Oryctolagus cuniculus: one gene and its partners. The protein of the gene in region 1 purifies or fractionates together with the protein of each later gene. This does not show direct contact. Links are inferred from orthologs where the notes say so. Each region holds a gene or a part of one and is shown on either strand. Other genes may lie near its edges.

Region 1 (3,500 bases):
TTCTTTCCCTTTTACCCCCAAGAAATCAAATCCCCAACCTTGTTGTACTTTGTTAGCGGCTAACCAGCTCACTCATTTTCACTCATGCTCCATTTCTTTTTCTGTTGTCATGTAGGATGGAGGAACCAGGGGACGCCGCTGTGCCATTGAAGCAGATATGAAGATGAAAAAGTAAAGCCTGAAAGTATCCTCTTTGAGCTGACTCTGAAATAGAAGTAAACAAGATAAAGCTTGGGCTTGCAGGCCCAGTTCCAGAAGTGGAAGTTACAGAAGAGGAGTGCCTGGGCCACATGACATAAGCTGGGAAAATCTCTCTCAGAGAGTTGAAGTAGCACAATTGTCTGTTTTAGGGCAAAAATCATGGGCTGTGTTAATGTCCTAATGTGTAGCTAACAGATTGTAGCTAGTTTGTACTGTCTGTGAAGTGTACAGATTTTTTTAAAATAAACCTGTGAAGTGTATGTGTATACAATAAATGTAAAAGAAAAAATGCTAGCCTTTGGTGTGTGCTTTTTGTGTGTATATTTGAAAATTTTGTTTCTTCCTACATTATTTGTGAAAATATTATTAGAGGATAAAGTGACTTTATAATGTGAATTGCCTACTTAATTGAGAGACGGTGAGTAAACAGGATTGAATTTATAATTACTGTTTTGAGATATTGTTCAACAATAACTTAGTTATTCAGCTTTTGAATGAGAAAACAAGTTTTTTAGAGTTGAATTCATAGCACTTTTAAAAGAAGATTCAAGCATGCTACATGGGTAGCATTAACCTTTCTTTCAGGAAAATTTGTCCTACTTCAGACTATCTGTAGATCATACCTTTTTTTTTATTTTTATTTTTTAGGGGCTTATCTGTGTCTTAAGAGCCCCTGATTTATTTTTTATTTTTTATTTTTTTATTTTTTTTTTTTGACAGGCAGAGTGAACAGTGAGAGAGAGAGACAGAGAGAAAGGTCTTCCTTTGCCATTGGTTCACCCTCCAATGGCCGCCGCGGCTGGCGCACTGCGCTGATCCGATGGCAGGAGCCAGGTGCTTCTGGTCTCCCATGGGGTGCAGGGCCCAAGCACTTGGGCCATCCTCCACTGCACTCCCTGTGGGTAGGGCTCTTGTGAATAGAATTCTTTATATTGCTGTTGGAAGGCTAATCTCAGTTTAAGAATTAACAAATTTAGGCACTGAGTTCTATTCCAATTTTTGTTAACAACAAAAACTTTAGCTCATTAGTGATAATGAACTAATTATGAGCCTTTTTATTGTATAGAGATATTAATGGGGTGTTATCTAGACTCTGCATTGTTGAGAAAGTTTTAAGAAGATCATGATAATATTTTTTGGCCTTCAAAAGGAATTACAGCAGTTGTCAGGAAGTAGGAAATAATAGTCCTATTGTGGTGATGGAAAGAAATCAACCCAACAGTTAGAAAATGAAGTACCTATAATATTCGGTTGCCAAAGCTATCCACAAACAGGCATGTGATAAAAACACTGAAGCAATAAAAATTGCAGGTTTGTGGGGAAAGTCCATTAAAGGACATAGGTATTGCTTTAGAAAAGGGATGGATGTGCTTTGCAAGATGAGTTAATAGTGTTGCACATCCATGGTAGGAGCAATGAGATAAGAGAACAGTGATCATACTAAGGAATAGTGAGATATAACACCAGTCAAGAGGATAAAGTAGGACTAATTATGGAGGACTTTTAGTGGTAGACTAAGAACATGTTTGAGATGAAAGCTGTTCTTAAGCCTTGACACTTGGCAGAGAGCAGGTTGAAGTAAAGATTGTTTAACTCTTAAGGAGCCTGACATTTCCCCAGAAACAAAGGATGATGACAGAAAATTGTGAAAAAATTGCTGACTTTAAGAATAATTTTGAGTTGCGTAGACTAAGAAAATAGTGTTGGTGATAGGGATAAAGAAATTGAGAGCAAATTAGGAAGAATATTGATTTTAGTTATAAAAATGCTGAGTTGAAGCAGATAGTAGGATTTCAAAAGAGAATTTGCTTTCAGATGCGTGGAGAAATGAGATCAGAATGTATAAAAGGTTGAGAGATTTGATAGAGTACAAAGTTGAAACAGTATGCATATATGTGTACATTGTGTGTATACACAATGACAAGAAACAGGAAATCATCTTCATAGAGGTCAAAGTTGAAACTTAAAAAATGCTTTATTTTTTAGAGGAAGTGTTAAGGAAGCTGGACTATGCAAGGAAATAGAAGACCAAAGTTTATTGAAAGTCAAAAGGGATTGGAGAAAGTTGTAAGAGAATCAGAATAGGGTAGTTAAGAAAGCAAGGGAAGGTATTTTTGAAACTTGAGGATCTCGTTTTGAGAAGTGATAGTGGATTTGACGATAAGGATGCCAAAGGTAATATCAAAGTGTATTTTCAGTATGTAATGGTAAACAGCTTAAAAAAACAAGGAAAGTATCCCGTGTTCCTTTTAAGTTTATTGCCTTGCAACTGAGTTTATGGGTGATTGGGGGATAGAGGAAGTCTGTTAAGCTAGCTATGCTCTAGCTCTTTCCCTTTTGGAGTATAAGGAAATAATAGTTATTGGGTAATACATTGTACTGCACTGTACAGTATAACATCTTTATTTTATTAAAATGGGACTTCTTTATTCCTAAAGATCATGTCATCTCCCAGCATTTTTCTTCTGCTATGTTTTATACTTCTTGATGAGACATTTCTGATATTTATCTTTCTACTGAACTTAGGAGATTGAGGTCCCTGGGAATATGAATTGGAATGATTTTAATGCTCTTTTTTTTCTGTGTATTTACAGATGGGGCATGAGTGGGTTTGGTTGGATTCTGTACAAGACTATCCCAGTGACTCTGAGTTGAGCAACTACTACAGGTCCCTCTTCAGCTCATGGGACTCCAGTCTGGATCTTGATGTGGGCAGCTGGAGGGAAACTGAGGATCCAGGGGCTGAGGAACTAGAAGAAAGCAGCCCAAGGAGAGAACCTAGTGAGCTGCTTGCAGGGGATGAAGGCAGTGAGGAATCTCAGAGAGAGGCAGAGCAAGTGAACCGCCAGAACCTCCTCCACTTTCTTTCTGAGGTAATGGTGAGCTGCTACTTCCAAAGCTGGGAGAACCTCCACTTTCTAAGAGAATGTTTACCCTCACATGTTTCTAATGCTCTTAATATTGTTTACTAAAATAGGAGACTCACATTGACAGAAATGATTTAATATTGTATCCCTGGCACTTGGTGCTGATACAGAGTATGCACCAAGTGCATTCTTTAAAAATATATTTATTTATTTATTTGAAACGCAAAATGACAGGAAGGGAGAGAGAGATCTTCCATCCACTGGTCCACTCATGTTCTCAACAGCCAGGTCTGAGCCAGGCAGAAGCCTGGAACCAGGAACTCCATTCAGGTCCGACATGGGTGACAAGAGTCCAAATACTTAGGCCACCTGCTGCTGCTTTCCTCCATATGCATTAGCAGGAAAATGGATTGGAAGTAGGGCAGCTAGAAC
Region 2 (4,051 bases), on another chromosome or scaffold:
CCCCGAATCCATTCATTCTCTCAAACACGATCCAAAGAGGCAACAGAGATTTCTCTTCAGTTGGGCTTCATCCCAGAGAGAGTATTATCTAAATCGGAGAAGGCATTAATATTGGTTTCTGAGTGAAGCCTCACTGGCGACAAGGTTAACTATTACATTGAGTTTCACAGCTTTTTATCGCCATCTTATCAATTTAGTTGGAGATCTGATGAACTCTTGCTATTGATGACATCACAAGGACTCCTCAGTTCCAAGGAGAATAATGAAAAGATAGACTAGAATTTATATCCCAGAAACAGGAATGTCCTTTGATCCCCCCCCCAAAAAAAAACAAAAAACTTTCAAATTGAAACCTTGAAACCTAAAGTTAGAATGTATGTTTCAAATACTTCAAGTTGCAACTGTTCAGTTGTTGAACATGTAACATTATATTCCCAAACAGCTGGAGATGTGCACAGGTGTTATTAATCTATTAGTTGGAAGACTAAGTAGCTGGCATTATTATAGCACTGTGTGTACAGTACTATTTTTTAAGCCCACCATTTGCAATTGATTACATGGACCATCTGTAACTGCCTGTGAATCACGTTAGTTACCCCACTGACATTTACCGAACATTTGTCACGCAGCGAAATATTTAGTGTAGAAAAGTTGACACATAATAGCTCTGAGATTTCACTAAATCAACTCTAGACACCGGCCTGTGGGTACAACCCACCGACCTGTAGACACCAGAAAAATACGGTTTGACTAAAGAAATACCAGCTCACGCCAAGCTCCCCACGCGTGAACAAAAAGGTCTTTTGTGCCCAGCGAGGTAACTCGGCTCCGCCGACTGTTGTCACAGAACCACCTCGTGTGTGTGCGTGCGTGTGTGCGGGGGTGTCTTCATAAAGTGGTGGGGGAAAGAGGAGGAGAGGACTCCGCTGAAATTCAAGTGGGATCCGCCGGCGGCTGGGAACCAGCTCAGAGGGAGGAAACGGCCGAGTCCTGGCCGACCCGGTCGCGCCACCTGTCAGACGAGCGCAGCCGCCAGGGGCTGGGAGGGCGGCAGGCGAATGGGTGCCCGGGGCCCCGGAAGAAGGCTGCAGGGGAGCCGATTCCGGGCGGCGAGAACCCAGGCGGTGCTGTTAGGGGTGGGGGCCGCGCTAGACCCCGAGGAGACTTCACGTGGCCTCTGCAATCCCGCTAAGGGACCGGCGGGGGGCGCTGTCCCACGCCCCTCCCCTGAGCCTCTCAGCTCCTCCTCCCAGACACGTGACTGAGCCTGCTGGTTTCTTCGCTCGCGCTGCGCACCTCGTTCTGTTTCTTCCCTCCCGCTGCTATGCCCTTCTTCTCCCCCGTTCCCATCCCTCCGCCCTCCCCCACCTCCTCCCCACGCGCCAACCGCGGCTCGAGCTTGGAAGCGCCCGCCTCTCCGCCCTGTTCTTCGTTTTCTCATTGGCTGAGGCCTCAAGGACGCGTCCCGAGGGCGGGCGGCAGCCATTGGTGGGATGAGCAATCCGAGTTCCCGGATGAGGGAACATTCTGCAGTATAAAGGCAGCGGGGAAGGCGGGAGACAGCGCAGTTTGAATCGCGGTGCGACGGAGGAGTAGGTGGTGGGATCGCGCTGTGTGTCAGACTAGCCCTTTCTCTGCCTTGCTTGTTTGAGCTTCCGCAGAATTCGAAATGGTAAAGTTCGCAGGGGCGCTCGGTAACTCCGCGGGATTTTGCCGGCGGGAGAGAAACCCGCTACCCACGGGGATGAGGGTGAAGTGGCGACGGTTGGGGACGTGCGGAGACGGGATTTACACGAGCGGGGGGGAGGTGGCGTGTCGGCTGCGAGCGGAGCAGCCTCGGCTGTCGCGGCGGGCGGCGACGGTTGGGTGGCGCGCGCGGCGCCTCTGGGGGCCGGCGGGCGGGCGGGCGGAGGCGCGCGGCCGCGGCGGGCGCGCGGCGGGGGCCGGCGGGCGGGGTCGCCCCTGCGGCGCGTGGCGGGCCGGAGACCCCGGCGGGGCGCGGGGACGCGCCGCGGTGGGGGAGGGGCGCGCCGCCCTGGTAATTCTATATTCTCCGATCCTCCTCCGCTCGCGGGCGTGTGCGCGCCGCAGGCTGGCGGTAAGGCTGGGAAGGACTCCGGAAAGGCCAAGACAAAGGCGGTTTCCCGCTCGCAGAGAGCCGGCTTGCAGGTCAGTAGTTGTTCGTGCAGTCTGCGAACCGTGGCGTTTTTCTTTGCACACCCCCTCCCACCCCCCTTTCTTGTTTATCATCGCCCTAGATGGGCGTTTCGTCTTCGCGTTGGGGATGCGGTGTCGCGACTTGGGGGCTGCCCACACGATAAATAAGGTTGGGGGGGGCGGCGATCACGTGTGTGGATGCTAGGGTGCCTGGCTGCACCAGCGTCCGGGCCCCTTGCGTTGGCGCGCGTGCGATCCCGCCAGCCCTGGCTCCCTGTCTTTATGCGTTTCTTGTTTGTGTGTGCTTAAGTTCCCGGTGGGCCGCATTCACCGACACCTGAAATCTAGGACGACCAGCCACGGACGTGTGGGCGCGACTGCCGCCGTGTACAGCGCTGCCATCCTGGAGTACCTCACCGCAGAGGTAACTGAGCGGACGCCTATCATCGAGGCAGGGCTGGGGGGGGGGGCGGGGGAGGCGGCCGGAGGGAAGGAGGAAAGTGATGCAAGAAGACTCCAGGCCCGAGACGCGGCGAGAAGCCCGGGAGGACGCTAGAGGGAGCCGGTGTCCAGGAAGGGAGCCTCCTGAGCCGGAGGAGTTGGCTGCTCCTGGCAGTAATTGCGTGTCCCCTGGATAGGGGGGAACACCTGGCAGATTCCTGTTCCTTAAGCTTTGATTCTGCCCTTGCACCTTGGTCAAAGGCGATTGATGAGCGTCTGCCTTGTAGGTACTTGAACTGGCAGGAAATGCATCAAAAGATTTAAAGGTAAAGCGCATTACCCCTCGTCATTTGCAACTTGCTATTCGTGGAGATGAAGAATTGGACTCGCTCATCAAGGCTACAATTGCTGGTGGTGGTATGTAATAAAGTTGGTTTTCTTCCTTATTCGGAGGACAGAAACCCTTGGCTTCTAACTCCTATTAGATTTTAGTCTAGCAGAGGGCATTTGAGAATGTTTTCATTGATGCAGTATGGCTGGGTCATGAAATTTGGTTTATGTAAACAACTCAATGGGTTTTTGGTATTTTGAGCTTCACATTTTTTTGAAAGATCTTGCACGTTGAAGCGTAAAATGCCTTGGTTTCAAAGTACTGTGTGGTTTTGAAAGTACTTACATTAAAAGTAGAATTTATCTGTCACTCTCCTAGGTGTCATTCCACACATCCACAAGTCTCTGATTGGGAAGAAAGGACAACAGAAGACTGTCTAAAGGATGCCTGGATTCCTTGTTATCTCAGGACTCTAAATACTCTAACAACTGTCCAGTGTTGGTGATTCCAGTGGACTGTATCTCTGTGAAAAACACAATTTTGCCTTTTTGTAATTCTATTTGAGCAAGTTGGAAGTTTAATTAGCTTTCCAACCAACCAAATTTCTGCATTCAAGTCTTAACCATATTTAAGTGTTACTGTGGCTTCAAAGAAGCTATTGATTCTGAAGTAGTGGGTTTTGATTGAGTTGACTGTTTTTAAAAAACTGTTTGGATTTTAATTGTGATGCAGAAGTTATAGTAACAAACATTTGGTTTTGTACAGACATTATTTCCACTTAGGTGGATAAGCTCAATAAAGGTCATCTCCCAAACTAGTTGTGTTTTAAATTTGCTTGCTTGTAATGGAAACTTGTTTTGACTGTGGTCCAGCAGTAACTAGGCACATTTCTTCTGTAGAAATTAAACTGTTAACCTGTAGATCGACAAAGGTCAGATACCGGGTACAAGGTAGTGTTACACCATAATGTGCTATGAATTTCTCAGAAGTTCTGCAGGAGCTGGAGATGGTTAGGGTTTCCTGGGACCAGGGACCAAGTGAGCTGAGCGTTCACCCTGGCTGTGCCGCAGTGACAGCACTGCTCTGGCGCGCGGCCGCCTTGGTGGGCTTGCACCTGCACAG
Region 3 (4,213 bases), on another chromosome or scaffold:
TGGCTCTTTCTCACTGTCTTTTGTTCTCTCTCTTTTCATTCTTTTCCCTTTCCCTCCGGTCTGTGGGGTTTACCCCACCAATAAACCCTTTGCCTTACTCCGGTGTTTGGTGTTTTGTGGCGGCCTCTCTGTAACTCTGCCTCTCAAATAAAGAAAAATAAATCTTAAAAAAAAAGGAAAAAAAAAAAAGATGTGCAGGCTTCACCAGCAGTGAGAACTATTTAGAGGGACAGAATGGAAAGGGGCGTTCATGCACATCTACATCCAATGTCTTCAGCATGGATGCCACAAAGGTTGTGTGTCCCGTCTCCAGATTCCTGCTTTCAAAAGTCAGGGGTAAAATGGTTCCTCATGTGGACAGCCGGAAGTCAGGGGAAAAGTCCAAGATTTCGCTTATTTTGGAGATCGGACATAAGGGCGGAAAATGTCTTTGTTGCTGTTTTGTTTTTCCTTCCTGTGTGCACTCTGAAATGGCAGCCGCGCAGCGTGGACTTCTGCTTGCCAGCTGGGAGTTGCATGAATGCAGGGGACATGATGGCATCCCCTTCGGCACCTGTTAGGTGCCAGTGAACACTGGAGAAGCAGATCTGTAAAAATGATTTCAAACGGAGAGGCAGCTGCGCCAGTCTTCCAGTCTGCAATTTTTAGCCGCGGTGCTCCGGGCCGGGGCACTCTGCAGACCGCCCGAGCTACGCCGGACCCGGAAGGCGCTTTCACTTCCAGGTACCCCGGCTGCCGGGGGTGGGCTCCGTGGTCCTGGGAGCCTCACGTGCGCCGTGCGGACCGACACTGCCCGCTAAAGGGACGCAAGCCTCTGCGGCTAGGAGAGGTCCCTCGGCGAGGGCGGTCGCGGTGCCCGTGCCGTCACACCACCCCACACCTGCCATCACCACCTCCACGGTTCCCGAGGGTCCGCGTGGGCAGCCAGAGCTGCGCCCCCTGGTCTGCCGCGGCAGGTTACGCCCCAGGGCGCAAAGCGGCGCGACTCCAGCATCCAGGAGACAAAGTAAAACCAATTGCACCAAAGAGAGGCAGCGCTATTTATGCGGCCGGCTTTTCCCCCAGGGCCTCCACCCTGTCCCCCGGGCCCGGCGCCCAGAGCGCAGACGGTGCCCGGCTCCGGAGCCCCAGCTCCCTCCACGTGTCCTGTCTTCCCAGCAGCCTCCTCTGCCGCCTCGGGAGGAAAACCTCCTGACAACTCGCGGTCTGCGGACTACGTCTCCCAGAAGGCGCCGCGCCGCCTCTCTCTCCGCCCTCCTCCGCGGGACACGCAGGCGCCCTGAGCTCCGTCCGCAAGCCGGCCTGGCGTCGACGGGCTGCAGTGCTTCCTGGGATTTGTAGTTCTTTGGGCTCTCGCCGGGCCGTCAGTCCCAAGGACGAGAACTACAAGACTCGGCTGCCCCAGCGTGCCGAGTCCGATCACGTGGCAGGGGGCCGACCGGGCGTGCGTGCCGCCGTTGATCCGGTGCTGCAGTGAGGAGGTGGTTCTCGCCCGTGTTGTGTGTGTGTGCGTGTGTGGGGGTGTGTGTGTGTGAGTGAGTGAGAGAGCGAGTGAGTGAGTGAGTGAGTGTGTGTGTGGGGGCACTTGGCTGCTTGTTGTCGGTGACTTCCCCCTCCCCTCCACCCTTCCCCCTTCCCGCCGCCGCCGCTGCAGTGGCCGCTCCCTGGGCCGTAGGAAATGAGCGATAACGATGACATCGAGGTGGAGAGCGACGTGAGTCCCGGGGCTTCTTCCTTCCCGTGCGGGTTGTCAGGCGGGGACAGCGGCCAGGGCTCTCAGCGGGGCGACGGCGGGAGGGGGCCGGGCCGCAGCCGCCGCCTCCTCCTCCTCCTCCTCCTCCTCCTCCCCCCCTTTCCCCTCCCCGGCCGGGACCGCCTCGGTCGCGCTCCCGGCTCGCTCCCCTCGGGGCTGCCGGGCTGGAGGTGGGGGAGAGGACACGCGGCCTCTGGGACCCCCGGCCCGTTCTCCTGCCGCCACCCTAGCCAGCTGAGGCTCCGTGGGACAGGGCTGGGGTGCGACCGGGATCTCATTGTCCGGATCCTGGGGTCGGCGATCCCCTCCTCCCGGGACCCGCGGATCCTGGGGGGTGCGGGGGGTGCGGCAGAGCGGAGAGGGGTTGGGAGTGTCCCGGCGGCCCGAGCTGGGTCCGAGGGGAGGAGACGGTGCTCGGGAACCCCTCTGGCCCGGGTCGGATCCCGGAAAGAGGGGCGGCGCTCGGGACCCCCTGCCCGGCTACTGGATCCCGCTGGGGGAGGGTGGGGGCGTGGGGCGGGGAGGGAGGGGTGAAGGGCTGACTCCCCCCCCCCCACCCGCCGCTTCCTCCGCCGCCGGCATTTTCTTTCTTATTATTGAGTGTGAAGTGTAAAAATAACTTCTATATTTTCTATTTTTTTTTTCTCTCTTATTCCAGGAAGAGCAACCGAGGTTTCAATCTGCGGTACGTCTCCTACTCTCCATTTCGTTTTCATTTCCGTTCAGTTCTAGTCCTTTCTGGGGTCAGAGAGAACCAGAGATTGTTCTAATACTTTTAATAATGTAGTAAACCCTCCTGTTGCCCGCTAAGGTGAGGTGGGGCCTGAATCCGGGGTGCCGGGGGGTGGGGAGGGAGAGCTGCGAATCCCATAATTCCAGATTCTCAGGTGACTGAGTGCTGAGTGAAGCCAAGACGTGGAATGGCCTGTAGTTTCCACACGGGCTTGCAGCTCCTGCCGTGCGAGTGGGGAATGAGGACAGCCTTTGGAGGCAGATAGTGGCTGGCGTCGCTCCAGGGCCAAGGAGCTGGGAGGCTGAGTTAGGCAGCAGGCGGTGTTGAACCCTAGCCACATAGCTGGGTCCGGCTGAAGCCACATGCAGTAATGGCCCCTAACCGGGAGTCATGGGGCTGGCAGGCCGAGGTGTTGTAGCACCAACGGCAGACCAGCCGGGGCGGGCGGGCGGGCCGTGGCACCAGCCTGACCTGCGGCTCCTTGTGGGCGGCCCCTGTCCCAGTTGAAGGAGAGGGGGATAGAGAATGGTGAGAGCGGCTGAAGACAGCGCTGGGGAAAGGTGATGGAGGCGGTCACCGGTGTTCTCGCGGTGGCTCCCACGTTCTGATGCCAGTGTGCTCGGGCGTGCTCCTGTGCACTCCCACTCGGAGCTCTTGTCTTTGGAGCCGTGCTGCGGGCGTGTGTGGCTAGATCAGAGAAAGCAGAGGAGAGATGCGGAGTAAATCCGCACTGGAGCGGGCAAGAAGAGCGAAGCGTGGCAGAGGCTGTGCTGGTCGTCAGCTAGGAGCCGGGAGCTGTGGGGTGCCCCAGGCAGTGGGGAGCTGAGAGTCCAGGGGAGGGAAGAGGTGGGGCCTGGGCTCCTGGGGGACACAGGCCTCCCAAAGAGGCAGGCGCTCCTCCGCCCCAGTGGGTGGGTATGTGGGAGGAGCACCCGCTGTTGCCAGATCTTCCTGTTGTGAAGGAAATAGTGGAAATCCACAACTTGTATATGACTTTTGTGATTTTCAAAAGAATGTGTGGACCAGCTGTGTGCAGGCTTGGTAGAGTTTGCAGGATGCCGCGGTAGACCCCTGGTGTAGGAATTTAGTAACCACAAAGGCAAGCTCTCTGCATTGTCCCTGTGCGTCATCAGAGCACGCCAAGGTGGCACGGGTTGTCCAAGAGAGACCATTAGGAAAGCTGGCCTGAGAGCTGATGTTTCCACTGAACTCCCAGCGTGCACTTGCTCCTGGCCAGCAGTCGTGAATATTTGCTGTGCTTTATTTCTCTTTGAAGTCATGATGCACACTCGTATTCACCCATGGATGTGAAAATTGAATTCCCTCTTCCCGTTGCTGTTGTCCTCACTAATGTGGCAGCGGAGCCCAGTGTGCCTGCAGCATTGTTTGCCGACCTCTGGCTCAGGGCTGGACCGGGGTTGGTCAGTCAGGTGTCAGTCGCTGCAGAATCCGCCCTGTGCATTTGCATTCCGATGGCTTCCCGGTGAGAGGAAGGTTCTTTTGTGCATGAAATTTTGGCTCACGGTTTTTGGAAGCTTCCTGCTTTTCCAAATGTTCATCCCCGTGGATTCATGTAAATTTGTTGATTAGATTATTAGAGTAGTTCCTCTCCTAGAGGGCGACTCTCATTGTTTTGTCCAGATGTTTTCAGTTTGCTGTTAAGGTGCCTACTTCCCCCCCGTTGATTTTGGGGAGAAGGCAAGGGAAGCAGTTTTGACCCTGTGGTA

What was found.
Region 2: the proteins of BRD8 (region 1) and H2AZ1 purify together in Homo sapiens (affinity purification with mass spectrometry; 4 studies listed by BioGRID and IntAct, with this or other methods). This does not show direct contact. The link is inferred for Oryctolagus cuniculus from reciprocal best matches to the Homo sapiens genes BRD8 and H2AZ1.
Region 3: the proteins of BRD8 (region 1) and MAX purify together in Homo sapiens (affinity purification with mass spectrometry; 3 studies listed by BioGRID, with this or other methods). This does not show direct contact. The link is inferred for Oryctolagus cuniculus from reciprocal best matches to the Homo sapiens genes BRD8 and MAX.

What each region holds. Positions count from the first base shown.
Region 1 is NC_091437.1:25,969,058-25,972,557, reverse strand, and holds part of BRD8 (bromodomain-containing protein 8), read left to right. Parts: intron 1-115; coding exon of another isoform or gene 116-175; exon of another isoform or gene 176-495; intron 496-2,795; coding exon 2,796-3,074; intron 3,075-3,500. UniProt on the Homo sapiens protein: May act as a coactivator during transcriptional activation by hormone-activated nuclear receptors (NR). Isoform 2 stimulates transcriptional activation by AR/DHTR, ESR1/NR3A1, RXRA/NR2B1 and THRB/ERBA2.
Region 2 is NC_091439.1:65,413,196-65,417,246, forward strand, and holds H2AZ1 (histone H2A.Z), read left to right. Parts: upstream 1-1,251; 5' UTR 1,252-1,669; coding exon 1,670-1,672; intron 1,673-2,091; coding exon 2,092-2,169; intron 2,170-2,467; coding exon 2,468-2,581; intron 2,582-2,885; coding exon 2,886-3,015; intron 3,016-3,307; coding exon 3,308-3,369; 3' UTR 3,370-3,743; downstream 3,744-4,051. UniProt on the Homo sapiens protein: Variant histone H2A which replaces conventional H2A in a subset of nucleosomes. Nucleosomes wrap and compact DNA into chromatin, limiting DNA accessibility to the cellular machineries which require DNA as a template.
Region 3 is NC_091451.1:11,144,873-11,149,085, reverse strand, and holds the start of MAX (protein max), read left to right. Parts: upstream 1-1,413; 5' UTR 1,414-1,678; coding exon 1,679-1,714; intron 1,715-2,411; coding exon 2,412-2,438; intron 2,439-4,213. UniProt on the Homo sapiens protein: Transcription regulator. Forms a sequence-specific DNA-binding protein complex with MYC or MAD which recognizes the core sequence 5'-CAC[GA]TG-3'. The MYC:MAX complex is a transcriptional activator, whereas the MAD:MAX complex is a repressor.